5 linked regions of the Ovis aries genome follow. The protein of the gene in region 1 interacts with the protein of each later gene in a pairwise test. Links are inferred from orthologs where the notes say so. Each region holds a gene or a part of one and is shown in the gene's direction. Other genes may lie near its edges.

Region 1 (2,881 bases):
GGGCCTTTGAGAAATATCCAAAGCTCATCCTTGCTGGGGCAACCCAAGAGAGGAGGGGGATCACCAGCTCTATTATCCAGTGATAGAAATTTATACCCCTCCCCCAACCATGGAAATCAGAGGTCACAAGATGGGCTGGGGGCCTTTGAAGATTCCTTACTGAATTCAGTCCAGAGCCCTGCCAGTGGGCTCTGGGCCCTTGTAACCTCTCAGCAATGTCTGTTTATTCCTTCTTTGCTGGAGAGTTTTGCCCAGTGGGTGGGAGTATGGCCTTTGAAGCCAGCTTCCTGGCTGTGTGACCTTGAGCCTGTTCACTCAACCTCTCTGAGCATCCATTGCATCATTTTTATGAAGGAGACTGACGTTAACAGCCCTGACCTCGTTGGATTTCATGATAGGAAAAAGTTTCTTTGAATCCCTGTCTGACCTACAGTCAGGATATTTGCTCTGACTTCTGTTTTTATTATTTTCATTGCTTTCTCCACCCCCACATCTTCAAGGTGGGTTTCATCATCCCCAGTTTCCAGCTAAGGCACCTTTGGGTCCCCTTCCCCCCTCTTCTCTCTGACCCCCACCAAAGTTTGGGGCTCCCTTGCACAATGAGGGGGACATCATCCCAGCCCTGGCCCTCCCCCTCTTCTTCTTCAGTCTGAAACTCGAATGTGACAAGCTGGCCAGCGAGAAGTCAGAAATGCAGCGTCATTACGTGATGGTAAGCCAGCCCGGGGGTCTGGTGGGCAGGGCCAGAGGACCCCAGGTCCCCCTCCAGCACTGGCAGCTGCTGTCTGAACCCTGGCCATCTCCTCTGGGATGTGCGAGAAGTCAGGGTCTGCTCTCCGCTCAGCCAGCCCCTGGCCGGGCTGAGTTAATCTTGTTGGCCTGGCTGCCGGCCCAGGCAGTGGCCGAGGTGCCAAGCCACCGGGTTGCGGCCTGGGCCTGCCAGGTCCCTGGCTGTCCTTGGCAGCGGAGGAGCCAGTGGCTGTGAAAGCCAGGAACTGGGGTTAGAGGGGGGTTGTTGATCCCTCCCCTCCCCACCCCCACTGTCTAAGCATCCCAGGCTTAACCCCTCCTAGTCCAAGCTTGGAGGAGGACTCCTGGAGGGCCCCCTTCCCCAGGCAGGAGGCTGACACTCTTTTGAGGTGGGTGGGTGGAAGGGAGGGAGGGGGTGACACTTCCTTCTTGGGCCTGACATTGGAGACCCTGCCCCTGCACACTGCTGGAATCACTTGCTTCGCTTCATATGCACCAGGTGGTGATTTCTGCATCAAAACCCCTGCCTAAGCCCAGCCCAGAGCCCACTTCCCCCAGGCCATGGGGGAGGCAGAGCTGGACAAGGAACCTCTGGATTCAGAGGGATGGGGCTGGGGCACTCCAGAAGGGTATGCTCCTGTTTGGAGAAAGACTGCATGGAGAAGGAGGCACTGCAGCTGGGGTCCTGATGAATGGATAGGAGCCAGCTGGGCAGAGAAGGGGAGACCACACAAACCTGGCTTTCTCCCCCTATCTTCCCTGGGGGGTGATGGGGAGTCATAGGAAGGTTTAGAGCAGGGGAGGTGCAGGGTCAGATGTGGGGCATGAGGAGGGGGGGCGCTGGCCCCAAAGGCAGACCCAACAGGATTTGTTTATCCTCGATTATTTATACCCAGGAAGACAAACTTCCCTGGAGTCCGGGGCCACCCGCAGACAAGACACATAAAGATAAAAGATTAGGAGCCTTGGAGTGTGTGTGTGCCTGTGTGTGTGTGCGTGTGTGTGTGCGTGCGTGCGTGCGTGTGTGTGTGTGTGTGTGTGTGTGTAGGGGTTGAGGTCATTATTCCAGAAATGGGGCATTCAGGGCCCCACTGGCGTCCCTAGCATCCTCACCAGGCACCTGGGCCCCAGCTCCAGGTGTGGGTGTCTCCCCGCTTCCGACTCCATCTCTCTCGCCTGCCCTCCCCTCCTCCTACCTCTCTCTTTCTCCCCCTCTTTGTCTCTCTCTGTCACTTCCCCTGTGTCTTTTGTCTCTGGAACCTCACATCCTTCACCCACCCCCATTTCTGTCTCCCCCCTACACAGTACTACGAGATGTCCTATGGCTTGAACATCGAGATGCACAAGCAGGTATGCCCCCTTCCCCCCTCCTCCGCCCCCCTGCCCCGCCCAGGCAGGTAGGAACCCGCCACCCCTTGGCTGAGAACCAAGACTGCCTTGGTATCCTGTTACCTCCGGAGCCCCCCCACTTCTGTTCTTTCTCAGGCCTCCCTGGGAGGTTGCTCTCCCTGAGGGGGAGGGCAGAGGCTTTCCCAGGACCTGCCACCCTCACTCCATTGTCTCTCTTTTGTGACAGCCCTGGGGGAGGGGGGTGATATGACCTGCCAACCCACCCTCCAAACCCTATCTCAGGTGTGTTAGAGAATTCTGATGCCAGCTGCCCCGACCTCTTCCTCCCTCCCTCTCACGGAATGCTCACTACCTGTGAGGCATCGGGCATCTTTCCAGGGCCACCCAGACCCCAAGCCACTGGGCCTGGATTTCGCTCTGTCCTGGGCTCTTAGCTACCCTCAGAGACTCAGCCCCCGGGGCCACTTTTGCTGCTGATCGGGTGCCCATGGGCCTGATGAGTCGATATGATCCTGGGACTTGCCGGCCTCCTCTTGGATTAGACAGAACCGCTGGGCTTTCCAGGGCTGGTCTGCACCTGCCCTGGCTGGCTGCTGCCCAGGGCTGAAGTGTCTGTCTGTTCCAGGCTGAAATCGTCAAGAGGCTAAATGGGATATGTGCCCAGGTCCTGCCCTACCTGTCCCAAGAGGTGAGCAGAGCCCCCGGGGGTCTGCTGGGAGGAGATAGACCCTGAACTTCCCTCAGCCCCACCCCTCTGTAGGCATCTGTGTGCCCCAGGGCA
Region 2 (4,010 bases), on another chromosome or scaffold:
ACCAAGAGGTATAAATGGCCCAAATGTTCATCGACTTATGGGTAAATAAAATGTTGTCTATTTCTATGAGGAATGTTATCCTGTCATAAAAAAGGATCAAGCACACATGTATGCCACATGTATGCCAAGTTGGAGTCAGACACAAAAGGCCACCTATTGTGTGATTCCTTTTACATGAAATGAGCAGAACAGCCAAAGTCATAGAGACAGAAAGCAGAGCGGTGCTTGACAGGGACTGGGGAGGGTCTACCCAATACTACAAGATTTCCTTTTGGGAATGTCCCGGGACTAGATAGTGGTCATAGTTGTACAGTGTTGTGACTGTACTAAATGTCCCTGAATCGAACACTTTAAAATGGTTAATTTTATATTATTTGTTACATGTAATAAAAAAAAAAACGTACCTGTTAAGGATTTCTAACAGGGAGGCCCCTAGAGCTTCCCTGGTGATCCAGTGGTTAACAATCCACTTGCCAATGCAAAGAACATAAATTTAATCCCTGGTCTGGGACTAGCCCACGTGCCACAACTACCAAAGCCCATATGTCCTAAAGCCAGTGCTCCTCAATAAGATAAGCCATTGCCAAGAGCAGCCTGCCCACTGCAACAAAAAGTAAGCCCCGTTTGCCACAACCAGGGAAAGCCTACATGTAGCAACAAAGACCCAGCTCAGCGAAAAGTTAACTAATTTTTAAAGAAGAGTGAGGACCTCAGACTGTGCAGCACTGGGTGTTACCAGTGTTGTAAATCTTGGCTGATCTTGCAGGTGGGATATTTGTGTTTTAATTTAGAGCCTTTTAATTATCAGTGATATCCAGTAGCTTTTCAAATGTTGATTGGAAATTTGAATGGACTGTGTGCTTGTGTTTGATTCTATTGTATCATATCCTGCTTTAGTTGTAAAGGCTTTCAACTTTTACATTGCAAATATTTTCTAGCAGTTCAATATCTTCACTTTATATGCCAAAAATATTTCTTTTGGGTTCTGATTGAAGTTACATCAGGGATGGATTGATCCAGAAAGAGTGGTAATTCAGTCTATAGCTCTGAGTTTCTTGCTTACACCTCTCGGGTCCCAGTGGATATATGTTGTGTGTGTTCTTTGGTCAAGTTTTCTATTTCGCTCGCAACTTATCTTCTTAGTAATGCTCTTAGGTATAGTTTGGGCTGCGGTAAAGCTAGGCATCTTTCCCTATGTATTCTCACACTGTCAAGGCTGGCGTGAAGTGGGAGCGGCTGCAGTGGCTGGGAACTTGTCTCACGCTCAGCCCCTCCCTCCGTGAACGTGACTTAAGAACCCTGGCAGGCATTCAGCAGAAACTTGCGTCTTGCATCCTCCACAAGTTTTCTGGAGCCAAACAAAGAACAGATGGGAAAACAGACTCTTGCAACGTACTCACATGTTTAATGAGTAAAAGCTAATTGTAGAAAACACAGCAGCCCTAATGAGGGTCAGCTCCAAACAGCAACAAGGAAGGGAGAGCGTGGGAGCCTCCGACCAGGGCCACGCGCATACTCAGGGCGGGTATAAAAGCAGACACCCTCAGCACTTCACTCACACACTCACACACACTTACACCTCCTCCAGCCGTACCACCTCCACCATGGCCTTCTCTAACCTGTCTGCTTGCTCCAGCGACCTGAGCTACAGCAGCCGGATCTGCCTGCCTGGATCCTGTGACTCCTGCACCGGCTCCTCCTGGCAGGTGGATGACTGTCCAGAGAGCTGCTGCGAGCCCCCCTGCTGTGCCCCCAGCTGCTGCACCTCGGCCCCCCGCCTGACCCTCCTCTGCGCCCCAGTGAGTTGTGAGTCCAGCCCCTGCTGCCAGCCAGCCTGCAGCAGCTCCTGCCCAGCCTCATGTGGCCAGCAGTCCAGCTGCCAGTCCTCCTGCTGCACCTCCTCCCGCTGCCAGCAGGCCTGCTGTGAACCTGTCTGCTGTGAGCCTGTCTGCTGCAGGCCCGTCTGCTGCAGGCCTGTCTGCTGTACACCTGTCTGCTGCACACCTGTCTGCTGCAGGCCTGTCTGCTGTGAGGCCTCCCCCTTCTCAACCTCCTCATGTTGCCAGCAGTCCAGCTGCCAGCCCTCCTGCTGCACCTCCTCCTGCTGCCAGCAGGCCTGCTGTGAGCCCGTCTGCTGCAGGCCTGTCTGCTGTACACCTGTTTGCTGCAGGCCCGTGTGCTGTGAGACCTCCCCCTGCTCAGCCCCCTCATCCTGCTGCAGACCCTCCTCTTCCGTGTCCCTCCTCTGCCGTCCTGTGTGCCGCCCCGTGTGCGGCCCCACCTGCTGTGTGCCCGCCTCCTCTTGCAAGCCCAGCTTCTGCCGCCCGGCCTCCTCTGTGTCCCTCCTCTGCCGCCCTGCGTGCCGCCTCGCCTGCTGTGTGCCCACCTCCTCCTGCCAGCCAAGCTGCTGCCGCCCAGCCTCCTCTGTGTCCCTGCTCTGCCGGCCTGCATGCTCCCGCCTGGCCTGCGGCATCCCCACCTCAGCCCCGGAGCTCTGCTGCTGACCGGCCAATCACCCGCCCTCCACAAGCTGCTGTCTCTCTCCCAAGCTCCAGGAGCCCCTCTGCTGGCGCCAGGACCTCCCCTCTCCCAAAGTTGGACACGCAGCTGCTGCCCAGAGAGGATTCGAACTTGGCAGGCATCTCAGAAAGCCCTTGACAGGGTGGACTGTGGGGCCCCAGGAGCCTCCTCTGCAGGACAGGCTGCTTGAATCCCATATGACAAACATCAGCTGCTCTAATGAATAAAGCGTTTGTGTCAGGAAATATGGACCCATGTCTGTTTTGGCCTCCTCCCTTGGGCCCCCTCAGCCCCTCCAAATATGGCCTGTAGGTGCTCTGCTGGCAGAAGCCAGGCAGTAAAGACACATTCTCCCATCCGAGTTCAAAGCAGCTGAGAAACAACAGGATCTGAAAGCTGGTGCCATTCACACATTCTATGTCCCTTCCTACCCCAGGCTCACTCTCCCTGCAGTGGACGGCCCTTCAAGGCTGACATGGAGGCGGGTGTGGGTGCAGAAGGCTCAGATCCTGAGTGGGCCCTGGGTTCCTCCCCCTGCCCATGCAGGTTGAGGGTGACTTGGGGAGCAGCAGAAACCCTCCTGGGTCTGGATCGGAGAGTCCAGGGTAAGTGCTGTTGGAGAGACGTGCCAACACTGAGGAGGAGATTCTGGGGGCTCCAAGGGGGTGCAGTGTCAATTTAGACATCACTCATTCTACTCAAGGTTTCAAAGCCTGACCGAGGAGGGACAGAACAAAAGAGACGCCTTGTGAACAAACCCTCAGGACAGTAGGGGAGAAAGAGCCTGCAGTCTTAGTGGACATTAGCAATAGAGGAAGTGGGCACCAGTCAGCACCAGTCAACTACTTATCCCCCACCAGAAACAGACTGATGAGGCCCATAGGAGCAGGAGAACAGTGGTGGCTGGGGCAAGAGGGACCAGGAACTGAAGGCATCTCCCCAGGGGATACTATCCCCACCCCAGCTCAGTTCCATCCAGGAAAGAGGGAATGGAGCAAAACCCTAAGAGGACTGGTAAACAGGTGTCCTGCCTCAACTCGTAAATCTCTTTCCTGAGTTTACTCAAGACAAGTACCATTTTTCTCCTTTGCCTTTAGCTTCTTTTCTTTTCTCACCTATTTGTAAAGTCTCCTCAGATAACCATTTTTGCCTTTTTGCATTTCTTTTGGTTGGGGATGGTCTTAATCACTGTCAAGTGATCAAAGGCAAAGGAGAAAAGGAAAGATATACCCATTTGGATGCAGAGTTCCAAAGAATAAAAGGAGAGATAAGAAAGCCTTCCTCAGTGATCAGTGCAAAGAAAAAGAGGAAAACAATAGAATGAGAAAGACCAGAGGTCTCTTCAAGAAAATTAGAGATACTAAGGGAACATTTCATGCAAAGATGGGCTCAATAAAGGACAGAAATGGTATGGACCTAACAGAAGCAGGAGATATTAAGAAGAGGTGGCAAGAATACACAGAAGGACTATGCAAAAAAGGTCTTCACGA
Region 3 (4,036 bases), on another chromosome or scaffold:
AGATGTGCGGGAGTCCGAGCCCCGCCCCCTCCTCTGGCTCCTGCACTGACCTCTCTTCCGCTCCCGCTTGTCCTGCAACTGCTTTTTCTTCTGCTTCACGCTGAAAGGCTTCTTCCTCGGCATGGCCCGGACCAGTCACCTGGCCCGCCCTCCGCCGAGCTCCCGCCGCCTCAACTGACTCCCCCCGGGGCAGCCCCCGCCGCAAGGGCCCGGGACCCTGGAGGGGGCGGGGCTGAAGGTGACGTCAGCGGGCGGGCCCGGCCGCTGCGCCCGGGCGGCCCGGGTGGAAGACAACGGGGAAATACAGTCACTTCCCAGTGAGAGCGAGGCGAGAGGATGATGCAGGGTAGGCTACCCGCACGTGAGAGCCAGTGGCACGGAGAGGGCGCTGCGGCGGCGAGGAAGGAGGCGCGCGTGGGAGGATCGGGCTAACTTCGTCACGGACGCTACCAACTCGCCTTCAGAGGAGGGGGGACGCGTGTCATCACTACCTTGCGCGCCGGGGAGAAGCTACCACTCACCTGGAGGGGGCGGTGGAGCGGAGGGCGGGTCCTACCACCTGGGGAGAAAGGGGCGTGGACGCGCATAAGCTACTTTACCAATCCTCCAGCTGGGCCTTAGAGGAAAGGCGCGACTGCGCATCCCGGGAAGGAAGCAGAGTTACTGAACTACACTGGGGGCCGGGTCAGAGGTCTTGAAGGGTGGGTGGCGGTCTGGAGAGCCCTGGGCAGCGCCCTGCTGGGACCCAAATTCCTTGTGGGAATGATGATAAGGAGCAGGCTTACAGATCATAAATGCAAGCGCCGCCGAGGAGAGAAACCCAGGTGGGACAAGGATTTTGGGAGGGAGGTCATAGGGCACCAAGTTGTGCCTGCAGCTGTTACCATAGAAACCGGGGACCGGATATGGCGATCTCAAGATGCGACAGCCTTCTCTTATCAGGCCTTCTGGCCCGAGAGTCGACTCTATGGCAGGCTGTGAGGAGCAGCCGGTTGTGGATTTTCTTTCAGCGAGGGGAGGAGCGAGCAACTTTTTCAAAGCGTTTATAGCAACGCAGCAAAGGAAAGGTTTGAGATTGCTGCCCTGCCTGGCAGAGACTGCGGGAGGCGGCTGATGCGAGAAGAACCGCACAAAGATTCTCCGCAGCCTTCCGGAAGTGAAATGGCGGGAGCCTCAGCCTCAGTGTCCACCGCCCCCCCCGGAAGCGGAAACAGAATCCCAGCGTGCCCCTTCCTCACTGCCCTCCAAATCCCGCTGCAGCCATTGCCGCAACCACGATGCCGAAACGAAAGAAGCAGAATCAGCAGCAGCAACTGCAGCAGCAGCCCCCACTGCCAGAGCGGGATGAGACTGGAGACGAGGAGGATGGGAGCCCCATCGGTGAGGAGCCCCGGAGGGGTGCGCACATGCCTGTCAGCCTGTCGAGGCGAAGGGTTAGAGGCTGAAAATATGCGGGGGAGAGGGGTCTAACGGGAGGAAGGGCGCACGCGCTGGGGCGGGGGCCGGGGGGGGGGAGCCTGTGTGGGATGGAACACTAAATGAGTTCTCTTTCTTGAATCCTCAACTTCAAACTGGCCTCTAACCCTTTGTAAAGAAGGGAGAGGAGATAAAGAACTTATGTGCGCAGCCGCAAAACGTCAGAGGGAGAGGGGCCCTAGAGAAGTTGCAGATTGCGATGACTGGGATGACAGTTTGTGACCACACTTGCATGGGGAAGGTGGAAGTAGAGCTTTCTGTGAACTCCTTGCGGATAGGGTTAAAGGAGAGGTATCTGACTGGCCAGCAGTTAAAGAGAGGGATTGGTTTTATCTCAGGAGTCACTTGGGATCTATTGGATAGCAACAATGTAAGGGAGAGAGAAAGTTTGTAGGTATCGTTTTCTCATTATACGCCGTGACAGGGCTGAGTCTCCACTTTGCAAATCCTGAAAATGCTTTGGAAATAGATGGGCGTCAGAACCCATAACACTGTTGAGAATATACCTGGCTTTACTGGTTAGATTAAGAAATGAGTAGTAGAAGGAAAGCATATAAGAACAGGATCATCAGTTTTTTAGTCCATTCTGATGACCATATTTTCATGTCTACTCTTAGGACCACCCAGCCTTCTGGGCCCTCCCCCCATGGCCAATGGAAAGCCTGGTGACCCCAAGTCAGGTGAGAAGAAAGGGGCCCTGATCCTTTGATTAGGTCGTGAAAAGGGAGCAAGGGAGGGACTAAAACCCACAAGGGATGTAAAAAAAAGATCAAGAATTCGGTACTTAAATGAAAAACTCAATGCTGTAAAATGACAGTTCTTCCAAAATTGACCCATAGATCCATTGCATTCCCACTTATAATCCCTACAATGTTTTTGTAGAAATAAGCATTCTGCATTATTATATGGAAATGCAAAGGATCAGGGTGAGAAATTGCAAAGACAATTTTTTAAGGGGAAGGGCTTACTCTGAATATCAAGACTTATCTTAAAGCTGTAGCAGTTATGGCAGTGTGGTATTGGTCCAAAAAGAGACATATAAATTAACAGAATGGCATAAAGAGTCCAGTAACAGGCCCACACACATATGGTCATTTCATTCTTGAAGATGGGATTGAAATAGTGGCCTTTTCAGCAAATCATGGCAGGTTAATTGGATATTCATGGGTAAAGAAGTAATTTCAGAAAACAAATGTATTTCATGGTCTTAAAGTAGATTAGAGTTTTTAAACAGACAAGCAACACACTAAGCATAAAGGAAAAATAAACTGAATTACATTAGGAAATACGAACTTCTATTAATCAAATCACATCATTAAGTTAATAGGAAGCCATAGAGTAGAAGATACTTGCAACAAATATAACCAATAAAGAGTTAAAATTTTGAACATATAAAAAACTCTCTGACAATCTGTTAGAAAAGTGGGCAAAAGACTAGAACAGCCACCTAATAAAAACTGAGATCTAAATGGCCAAAAACATGAACAAGAACACAGCATCATTAGTCATCAGATAAGGGCAAGATAAAAGCATATAACTTGGAAACCAAACCCTTTGTGTACTGTTGATGGGATTGTAAAGTGGTGAAACCACAATGGAAAACAGTATGGAGATTCTTCAAAAAATTAAAATAGAACTACTATGTGATCCAGCAGTTCCACTTCTGGGTGTTTACCAAGAAGAGTGGAAAGCAGGATCTTGAAGAGGGAGTCACACCCCATGTTCATAGCAGCACTATGCACGGTAGACAAGATATGGAAGCCGCCAGATGCCCATCGATGGATGATGGGTAAACAGAGTGTGGTATGATCATGTAATGGAATGTGATTCTGCCCTCAAAAGAAGAAAGTCCTGTAGCAGGCCACAGCGCCGATGAACCTTGACGCTAAGCCAGTCACACAAAAAAATGCTGTATGGTTCCACTGATCTGAAGTATATAAAGTAACTAAATTCATACTAACAGAAAGTAGAATGGTACTTGCCAGAAGCTGGGGCGAGGAGAGGGAAAGAGTTGTTTAGAAGCTACTGAGTTTCAGTTTTGCAAGATGAAAAGTTCTGGAGATCTGTTTTCCAATAACAAGAAATTACTTAACACTACAGAGATACACACTTAAAGTACTAAAGTGGAAAGTTTTATGTTAGTTACAATCACAATTTCAAAACAAAACACTGCTTTTCACACCCACCAGAATGGCAAAGATGAAAAAGATTGTTACCAAGTGTTGTCAAGGAATAACAGCTTGTTTATGGTGGTAGTGGGAGTGTGAATAGGAACAACCCAAGTTTCGAATTTCTTAAACGTAAGCATACATATATTCAAGGATCCAATAATACCTCTACCACATATATACTCAACAAAAATGCATCCACGTGTGTACCGAAGACTTATATAAAAATGTTCATAGCAGCATTTTTTTTGTTATATCCCCACACTATAACAAAAATGTGGAATCTAGTAGCATGTCCACCATCAGTAGAATGGCTAAATCAGTTGTGTGTACATGTAGTGGAATACCACACTGCAGAGAAAATGAAGGAACTCCTGCTACGAGCAACCTGG
Region 4 (4,184 bases), on another chromosome or scaffold:
CTTTGCTCAATGAATAATAAATTCTAAGAGACTATTTTAATCCTCTATCTTAAGTCTCCAGGTTTGGTTTTGGTTGGTTGGTTGTTTTCCCATTATCAGCTATTTAAGGAAGAAGTACTCAGAGTTAAAAAATAATTGTTTATTCTGGATCATGAAAATTTTAACTTTGTCGGAGTAATGGGCTACCCACCCCATAAAGATCTTTAACATTCTGCAGACAATTTTCTCTGTACACTTTTTAAAATGAAATAAATACCACAATCAAAGGCAAGAAAACTGAAAATTGGAGATAAAACTTAAGAAAGAACCCAGAAAACTTACATCTCAGATCCCTATCCATTCAGTACTGCCCCAGGGAGTTCATCCAATGGAATTGCTGGAACTCATACAAAAGACTTTTATTCCCAAGTTCCAGCATATTTAATTTTCATGAAATTGAGGCCTTCAAAATTAAATAAATTAGTAAATCTGAGAAAACAGCTTCCATGTCCCAGAAGAAATGCCTTTTGTAACTTTCTTCCTTCTATACTGAAGTGTAGTTAACGAAGGTTTAGCTTCCTGAGACTAAAAAATTATAACAGAATTCATATTTCATTCTTATTAGAGATACAGATGAAAAATCAGTATCTCTGATATAAAAGTGAAGCATAGGAAAAGTAGAGAAGGCAAGTTTCAGGAAATCAAAGATTACAACTCCACGTTTTGATAACCAATTTATATTTTGGCATGTAGGGCAAAAGTGATGCCCATCAGTTATGTAAAGTGACTTTTCAGTTTGCACATGGGCATGTATGGTTCTCACACACACACTTCAAATTCAGTATACACTCAGTCCTCCACCATGTGAGCACAGCAAGACCACAAAAAGCATTGAAGATGGCTAATCACACAGAACACTTTTATGGTGGGGGCACAAACAAATAAATAGCATTTAAATGAGTTGTAACATTAATTTCAAAAGAAGACGAGCAGTTTTCAATGCACAGGATCAAAATCTGTAGGGATATGATTTCCTTTATGTGTAATCAGTTGTATCTATAATTACTGATTGCCCAAATTTTCTCTTTCTTTCCTTATTCTGTCAAAAGGACAATGCTTCCTGTGAAGATTTTCTGAAACAAGTGCTTTATCCTATTGGCACATGGAGATGGTGTCTTTATTTAGAAACCTGAAGTTATGGCTCTTTTACGAAGCATAAAACTCTTCTTCAGCAAATAAACAACACTAATGAATGTTCATATGAAAAATGCACCGGAAAACATCCTGTGTAGTCTGTAAATACCCATTTGAAGTGGGGTATATATAAAAGTCTCGGGAGGGAATGAGAGTTTTGGAGGCGGGCAGTTGGAGTTTTGCAACTAGTCTTTGCCCTTCACTTCTGATAGAATGGCTTCTGACTGTTCCCCCACGGGCTGCTCTTCTGAATCCAGTGCCAGGGCTTCTGATTGTGCGCTTGCCTCAACCTGTTCCGCGGCAACCACTTGTCTCCCCAGCGCCTGTGCTACATCCAGCTGCCAGACCCCCAGCTTTCTATCCGGGTCTCGTCTGCCAACTGGGTGCCTCCCACCGTCCTGCTTTGCGGGGAGCTGTAATATTCCGGGCGTGCTGGGGAACTGTGCCTGGTGTGAGGACGGTGCATTCAACAGTAACGAGAAGGAGACGATGCAGTTCCTGAATGACAGGCTCGCCAGCTATCTGGAGAAGGTGCGCGGGCTGGAGGAGTTGAATGCTGAGTTGGAATGCAGGATCCGGGAACAGAGTGAAGAGGATGTCCCGTTGGTGTGCCCTGATTATCAGTGTTACTTCGACACCATTGAAGATCTCCAGCAAAAGGTCTAGTATCCCATCACCCTAATGTTCCACCTTCCCACTCTGTGATGTGCTTTATGTTTCTACTACTACAAGAGTCTGTTCTGTGGAGGGAAACCAGGGAAAGGGGAGGGGCTTCCCAGGGGGAATGTGATGTAGAGGCAAGGGTACTGGACAAAAAGCCAGCAAACAGGGTGACCGGTGGTCCAATGGTTCAGACACTGTGCTTCCACTGCAGCGGGCTTAGGTTCCATCCCTGGTGGGGGACTAAGACCCCACGTGCCATGCGGCATGGCCCAAAAGAATAGAGGGGGAAAAAGTCAGTAAACATCAGCGCTAGCCTGTATGCTGCCGCTAATTACTAAATGACCACAATAAACCCGCTTATCCCTAAATTTACCTTGAGGAAAAGCAGTGTGATATCTAAAATTATTTCTGCGTGTAACACTGTACAAGTACATTATTTAACATAGATATGGAAATGTCATCTTTTAACCATATAATTTTACCTGGTAATTATGTCTTTTTCTTACTGATAAATTTTTATTATCATGGGTGGAGATGTAGTCATAATATAAACTCCTAGAGAGAAATCTACCTAAGTTCAGTGGCCAAGGAATACTGCAAAAATGTTTTTAAGTCATTAAAAAAAAAACAACAACCTTTTTATTTCTCTATTTTGTTTATAAATTGGCCCTCCTTTTTCCTTCATGAAATGATATGGTCAGTAAAAGCAGGCTGAAGGCCTATATTTTCTTATAAAGACTTTTAAAAGATAAACCCTGGCATAGTTATTAAATGAGTAGATATGTGGGTTTCTTTCAAAGAACCATTCATGACATAGTAACTTTCTTCCCAGATCTTGTGTACGAAGGCAGAAAATTGTAGACTTGCTGTACAGCTTGACAACTGCAAACTGGCTGCTGATGACTTTAGGTCAAAGTAAGTTTAATTTGAACTTTTTTTTCCTTGCAAGAAATTGCTTTACAATCTTGTGGTAGTCTCTGCCATATGTCAACATGAACCAATCATAATTATATATATATATAATATATATAATATATATATATATCCCCTTTATCTTGAGCCTCTCTTGCCTCAATTCCACCCCTCTAGGTCACCGCAGAGCACAAGGCTGGGCTCCCTGTGTTATACAGCAGCTTCCCATGAGCTATTTATTTTCCCCATGATAGTACGTATATGTCAAAGTCACTTTCTCAGCTTGTCCTACCCTTTCCTTCCCCTTGCTGTGTCCACCAGACCATTCTCTACATCTGCATCTCCATTTCCTCTCTGTAAATAGGTTCATCAGTACTATTTTTTTAGATTCCATATATATATATGCATTAATATACAGTATTTGTTTTTCTCTTTCTGACTTATTAATGATTCCCTCTGTATAATAGGCTATTGGTTTATCCATCTCACTACAACTGACTCATTTTTTTCCTTTTTATGGTTGGGTAATATTCCATTTGTACGTATTATCTCAATGTATGTATGTATCTTTACATACATGCATGTACATGTATGTATCTTTATGTATGTGTGTATCAATGTATGTATCTTTATCCACTCATCTGTCAATGGAAGTCAAGGTTGCTTCCATGTCCTAGTCGCAGTAAATAGTGCTGCCATGAACACTGGCGTGCATCTGTCTTTTTGAACTGTGGTTTTCTCAGAGTGTATACCTGGTAGTGGGATTGCTGGGTCATATGGGGGCTTTATTCCTAGTTTGTTAAGGAATCTCCATACTGTTCTCCATAGCAGCCATACCAATTTATATTCCCACCAACAGTGCCATAGGTTCCGTTTTCTGCATATCCTCTCCAGCATTTATTGCTTATCATTTTTTCGATGATAGCCATTCTGATTGGTGTGAAGTGATGCCTCATTGTAGTTTTGACTTACATTTTTCTAATAATGAGAGATGTAGAGTATCTTTTCATGTGTTTATTGGCCATTTGTATGTCTTATTTGGAAAAATGTCTGTTTAAGTCTGCGCATTTTGTTTGACTGGACTATTTGTTTCTCTGATATTGAGCTGTATGAGCTGCTTGTATTGTGGACTTAGAAGCAAGTACAAGCTAGAGTAAGACCAGATCTGAATTCGAACTTAACATATGGTAGGCTCTTCCGCTTCTTCTCTCACATACCTACATGCACACATCACAAGGATTCCCTTTATAATATTTTTTCAAGCTAAGAATGCTCACAAAGCTTGAATTTTTCATGATTTGGATGTAGAAGAAATTATGGCATGTGGGTTCCTTGATGTCATGTGTCCCTCAGCTGTAGGGCTCAGCACTTTTCTCAGTGTCCAGCAGAGTAAGCATTGGCTGTATCTCTTTTGCTGTAAAAGGTACGAATCTGAA
Region 5 (4,114 bases), on another chromosome or scaffold:
AAACATTTATTCCCAATAGGCAAATGATTTTTAAGCACTGACAGGCAACACTGGAAACTAGGAGACTGAAGGAAGGAAAGAAGAAAGGAGAGGAGAAGGGAGGGCGGGAGGAGTAATCACTGTACTTACTGTATCTTGGCAGTTTTTAAGGCTCTGCCTGCTTCTAGTTTCCTCTTGCCGTTTCCTCACTCCCCCTTCAATCTTTACCTTTAATTTGTGCCCTTACATTGCCCTTGTCCCTTAGGTAGCTTACTCCCCAAGCTCACTACGTTCAGTTTCCCGCTTCAGTTTCTTCCACTATTTCCCTCTTGTGCAGCTCTATCACAATTTCTTTGCTATATATACTTGATTAGTTGTGTCTAACTCTTTTGCGACCCCATGGACTGCAGCCCGCCAGGCTTCTCTGTCTATGGGAATTCCCAGGCAACACTATCGGAGTGGATTGCCATTTCCTTTTCCCTGGGATCTTCTCAACCCAGGGATCAAACCCTTGTCTCCTAGGCGGATTCTTTACCACTGAGCCTCCTAGAAAGCCCATATATTTATATGTCTAAAATACAGTTGAGCAAATATTGGGACTGATTGGTGAACTTTGTGCAAATTAGTTAGAACGGAGAGCTCTAGAGAGGGTATCTCCTCCATAACTGAGAATTAGACAGAACGTAGAGGAGAATCAGTGAAGCCAGCAGAGTTGGCTTTTTTTGTTTGTGCCCTGGTGACCTGTATGAAAACAGTGCGTGACTCCAAAAGCTTCCTTGTGACTCTCCTCCGACTGACCTTCGATCAAGGCCCTTCCCCACTGCCGCCAGCCCTGACTTCCCTCGGACCCACACACTGCTTTTCACGCCCCTCTCTCCCCACACTTCAGGCCTGTTTCTCTTCCCCAGGTTCTATTAATACTTCCATTGCTTTCCACTCGCCAAGATTCGGCCCAAATCTCACCCTCTCATTCGCACCGTCAGGTTCTGCTAGAGGGCCCCTTAACCCGGCTCCCACCCCAGGGCCCCTCCTCCAGGTAGCGAGGCGACATCCTTCCCCCTCCCCGCTCCGCGCACACCTGTCGGCCTCCGACCTCCCCCGCACCGAGCGCCCACGCTCCCTCCACTGCGCCCCCAGGGCCCTGGCCCCGGGCCCACGCCGGCCTCACGCCCGCCCAGGGGCCTCGGCGCGCCCCCGCCCCTGCCCCCCACCTGCTCGCGTCCCCCCTCCCCCCGCCCCGCCCCGCCCCGCCCCGTCTCGCCTGGTCCCCAAGTCTCGGGCCCCCGCCCCCCGCGGGCCCGCTGCACTGTGGGTAGGCGGCGGCGGTGGCCGCGCAGAGGATCCCGCGGCGGCGGAGCGAGGCTGCGCGCGCCGAACATGGCTGAGAAGCAGAAGCACGACGGGCGGGTGAAGATCGGCCACTACGTGCTGGGCGACACGCTGGGCGTCGGCACCTTCGGCAAAGTGAAGAGTTGAGTACGCCGCGCCTCGCGGGAGGCCGAGCCCCGGAGTCCGGGTGTGCCGGGCCGCGAGCGGGCAGCGGGTGGCGGGGCCTGGCGGCAGGTGGAGCGGCCGCGCCCGGGCCGCGCGGAACCTGGGGACCGAGGGAAGGCAGTGGGTACCGCTTCGCCCCGCGGCAACGGCGGCGTCCCGGCGAGGGGGCTCGGGCGGGGGCGTCGCGAGGTCCTGGGACTGGCGTCCAGCACGCTTCTACTGCCCGACCTTAGTGCCCCCCTCTGAAACCCGGAGATTGGGTTGTTGGGCGAGATGCCTTTCAGCTGGGAGGCTGCAAGGACCCTGAGGAATGACCCACGGTCCTGATGGTGGAGTTCCCATTTCGTGCCAGGTGTCCCGTTAGGTGCTTCACGTGTGATCTCCTGTAATCCTTACAGCAGCTGCAGGTGTTATCTTCGCCTGTAACGTGAGAAAACGGGGACCCCCTAGCAGGGACGTGTTCAAGGTCACACTGAAATTGGCAGAACTGGGATAAAGGTCTAAAATGTCCTCCAATTTTGGCCAGGCTGGGAAGTCCTGCTGTCTGGATTCTTTCGTGCTCCCTGACTCTGGATTAGTAGGGCTGGTAGTTTACGGGGGATCCCCGGGGCGCGAGGTGGGTGGGTCTTTCTGCTGGCCTTGGGAAACGCTGGGATGTACCTGGGTTGGGTCAGGGCTTAGAACTGGGAGGTCTGAAGGTTGCTTGTGTGTGTAAAATGGTTCTAGGAAGGCTTCCAGGATGGAGGGAAAGGAAAAAGGGACTTTGGAGTTGGATCTTGAGGATGTAGGGCTGAGGCCAGAATTGCTAAGACGTACTCTGCTGAGCTCTGTGTTCCTAAGTGATGGGATCCCATTTTGGGTGTAGAAAAACAGGCTGCTTTGATTTTTTTTTTTTTTTTTTTTTACTGGTTACTAGTTAAGTATTGAACTTTCCTGTTTTTCTTAAGAGTCATGTGAGATTAATTAACTTGTCCTCTCTCCAGAACTAGAACCAACTTATTAAAAATACTTCTTTTGGTTGTTGCTTTTTTCTTTTTTCATTTTGCTGAGAAAATGTTGGGTAGGCAGCTTGAGGATTTTATTGAGGCCTCTATTTCCTTAAAAAATCATAATGAAAAAATTTTAAGTTTTAAAAATTATAGTAAATTACAATTTTGTGTTAGTTTCTTCTCTATGACATTGTGAATCAGCTGTAAGTATACATGTATTCCCTCCTTCTTGAGCCTCCCTCCCACTCTGCTAGGTCATCACAGAACGCTCAGCCGTTCTCTGTGCCATACCTTAGCTTCCCACTAGCTAGCTGTTTTACACATGGTAGTGTAGAGATCAATACTACTCTTCCACTTCGTCCAAAAATCCTATTTTAACCTTGAATCCAGGCTGTAAGTGGATAGAAGAGACTCGTTCATTCATATGGTAGGGATCAGCTTTTATTTACTTGCACACATCTGATACCCTTTCTTTTGTTCAGTAAACACTTACTGAGTGCCTACAGTGTGCCAGGCACTGTTCTAGGTAATGGGGACACCCTAGGAACAAAATCATTAAAATCTTTCCTTTTGTGGTGCTTATATTCAAGTAGGGGAAGACAGTAATCACTGTATATATTTGTGTGTGTGTGTGTGTGTGTGTGTGTGTAGTATTTTTAGTGCTGTGAAGACAAGTGAATCGGAGTTTTGTGCAGTTCACAGTTTTCAGTAAGATTGTCAGGCATGGCCTTACAGATAGGGTGTATGTTTATATAAAGACCTCAGGTTTGTAAAATTCTTTCAAGTCCTGTGAGGGCTGTGAAGTCCTTCCTGGCTTAGGTTTGCAAGACCTCATAAAGTGGTAAGTGGAGAGAATATATTTAGAGTGAATATATGAAGATTCAGGAACTGGATTAATGCTGTGACATTACTAAGGACTATTGTGTTTTGATGTTACGCACTCAAGTCTTCACCATCTAGGCATGTACACTTTCCAAGTTATATAATGTATACTGTTCCTTTTCAAATTGCATTAAAAATTGTTGTTTTTAAAAAAATTATTGTGTAACCTGAATATTGGCTAAAATACCCATCAGATAGATCATTTGGTCCATTGTCACAGGACAACTTAAATCTCTTTTTGTATATATCCTTGAACTGACCTAAAATATAAACCAACAGAAGGTACTTGGATTTATGAGAAATCCTTTTCCTGGAAGACTCCTTCCCAGTGAGCAGCTAACTGGGGAGATTTCCTAACACTGTATGAACACCTCTCCAAAGTTAGTGCTCTCCCATCCAAAGTTAGGATTAGTACAGTTGCTTAATAAAAATTATATAAGTGCAGCAGTCTAAAGTTACTCATTTACAGTGGACCCTTGAACACCATGAGTCTGAACTGCAGAGATCTACTTTTACAACAGATAATTTTTTTCCTCTAAATAAATACTACAGTATTATACAGTCAAGGTTGGTTGAATCCTAAAATGTGAAACCATGAATACTGCGGGAGGAATATAAGGTTATACACAAGTTTTCAACTTCCTGGGGTCCAGTGCCTCTAACTCCAGTGTTGTTCAAGGGTCCACTGTAATTCTTTAAGGGACTACAAACAAAAGCACGCTTATTTTTAAACACAACTTTTTTTCAAGCATATTTAAGATATCCTAAAA

Evidence for each region.
Region 2: the proteins of TLE5 (region 1) and keratin-associated protein 10-12-like interact in binary tests that used the Homo sapiens proteins (3 or more experiments, as listed by UniProt). The two-hybrid records come from large-scale screens. The link is inferred for Ovis aries from reciprocal best matches to the Homo sapiens genes TLE5 and KRTAP10-7.
Region 3: the proteins of TLE5 (region 1) and PRR3 interact in binary tests that used the Homo sapiens proteins (3 or more experiments, as listed by UniProt). The two-hybrid records come from large-scale screens. The link is inferred for Ovis aries from reciprocal best matches to the Homo sapiens genes TLE5 and PRR3.
Region 4: the proteins of TLE5 (region 1) and KRT40 interact in binary tests that used the Homo sapiens proteins (3 or more experiments, as listed by UniProt). The two-hybrid records come from large-scale screens. The link is inferred for Ovis aries from reciprocal best matches to the Homo sapiens genes TLE5 and KRT40.
Region 5: the proteins of TLE5 (region 1) and PRKAA2 interact in binary tests that used the Homo sapiens proteins (3 or more experiments, as listed by UniProt). The two-hybrid records come from large-scale screens. The link is inferred for Ovis aries from reciprocal best matches to the Homo sapiens genes TLE5 and PRKAA2.

What each region holds. Positions count from the first base shown.
Region 1 is NC_056058.1:18,528,392-18,531,272, forward strand, and holds part of TLE5 (TLE family member 5), read left to right. Parts: intron 1-648; coding exon 649-712; intron 713-2,055; coding exon 2,056-2,100; intron 2,101-2,725; coding exon 2,726-2,788; intron 2,789-2,881. UniProt on the Homo sapiens protein: Transcriptional corepressor. Acts as a dominant repressor towards other family members. Inhibits NF-kappa-B-regulated gene expression. May be required for the initiation and maintenance of the differentiated state.
Region 2 is NC_056054.1:262,544,338-262,548,347, forward strand, and holds keratin-associated protein 10-12-like, read left to right. Parts: upstream 1-1,454; 5' UTR 1,455-1,604; coding exon 1,605-2,504; 3' UTR 2,505-3,510; downstream 3,511-4,010. UniProt on the Homo sapiens protein: In the hair cortex, hair keratin intermediate filaments are embedded in an interfilamentous matrix, consisting of hair keratin-associated proteins (KRTAP), which are essential for the formation of a rigid and resistant hair shaft through their extensive disulfide bond cross-linking with abundant cysteine residues of hair keratins.
Region 3 is NC_056073.1:27,533,105-27,537,140, reverse strand, and holds the start of PRR3 (proline-rich protein 3), read left to right. Parts: upstream 1-1,236; 5' UTR 1,237-1,277; coding exon 1,278-1,380; intron 1,381-2,093; coding exon 2,094-2,156; intron 2,157-4,036. Other genes in the region: GNL1 (guanine nucleotide-binding protein-like 1), read right to left, coding at 51-123.
Region 4 is NC_056064.1:40,929,765-40,933,948, reverse strand, and holds the start of KRT40 (keratin, type I cytoskeletal 40), read left to right. Parts: upstream 1-1,384; 5' UTR 1,385-1,386; coding exon 1,387-1,833; intron 1,834-2,668; coding exon 2,669-2,751; intron 2,752-4,171; coding exon 4,172-4,184. UniProt on the Homo sapiens protein: May play a role in late hair differentiation.
Region 5 is NC_056054.1:31,181,397-31,185,510, forward strand, and holds the start of PRKAA2 (5'-AMP-activated protein kinase catalytic subunit alpha-2), read left to right. Parts: upstream 1-1,314; 5' UTR 1,315-1,356; coding exon 1,357-1,450; intron 1,451-4,114. UniProt on the Homo sapiens protein: Catalytic subunit of AMP-activated protein kinase (AMPK), an energy sensor protein kinase that plays a key role in regulating cellular energy metabolism.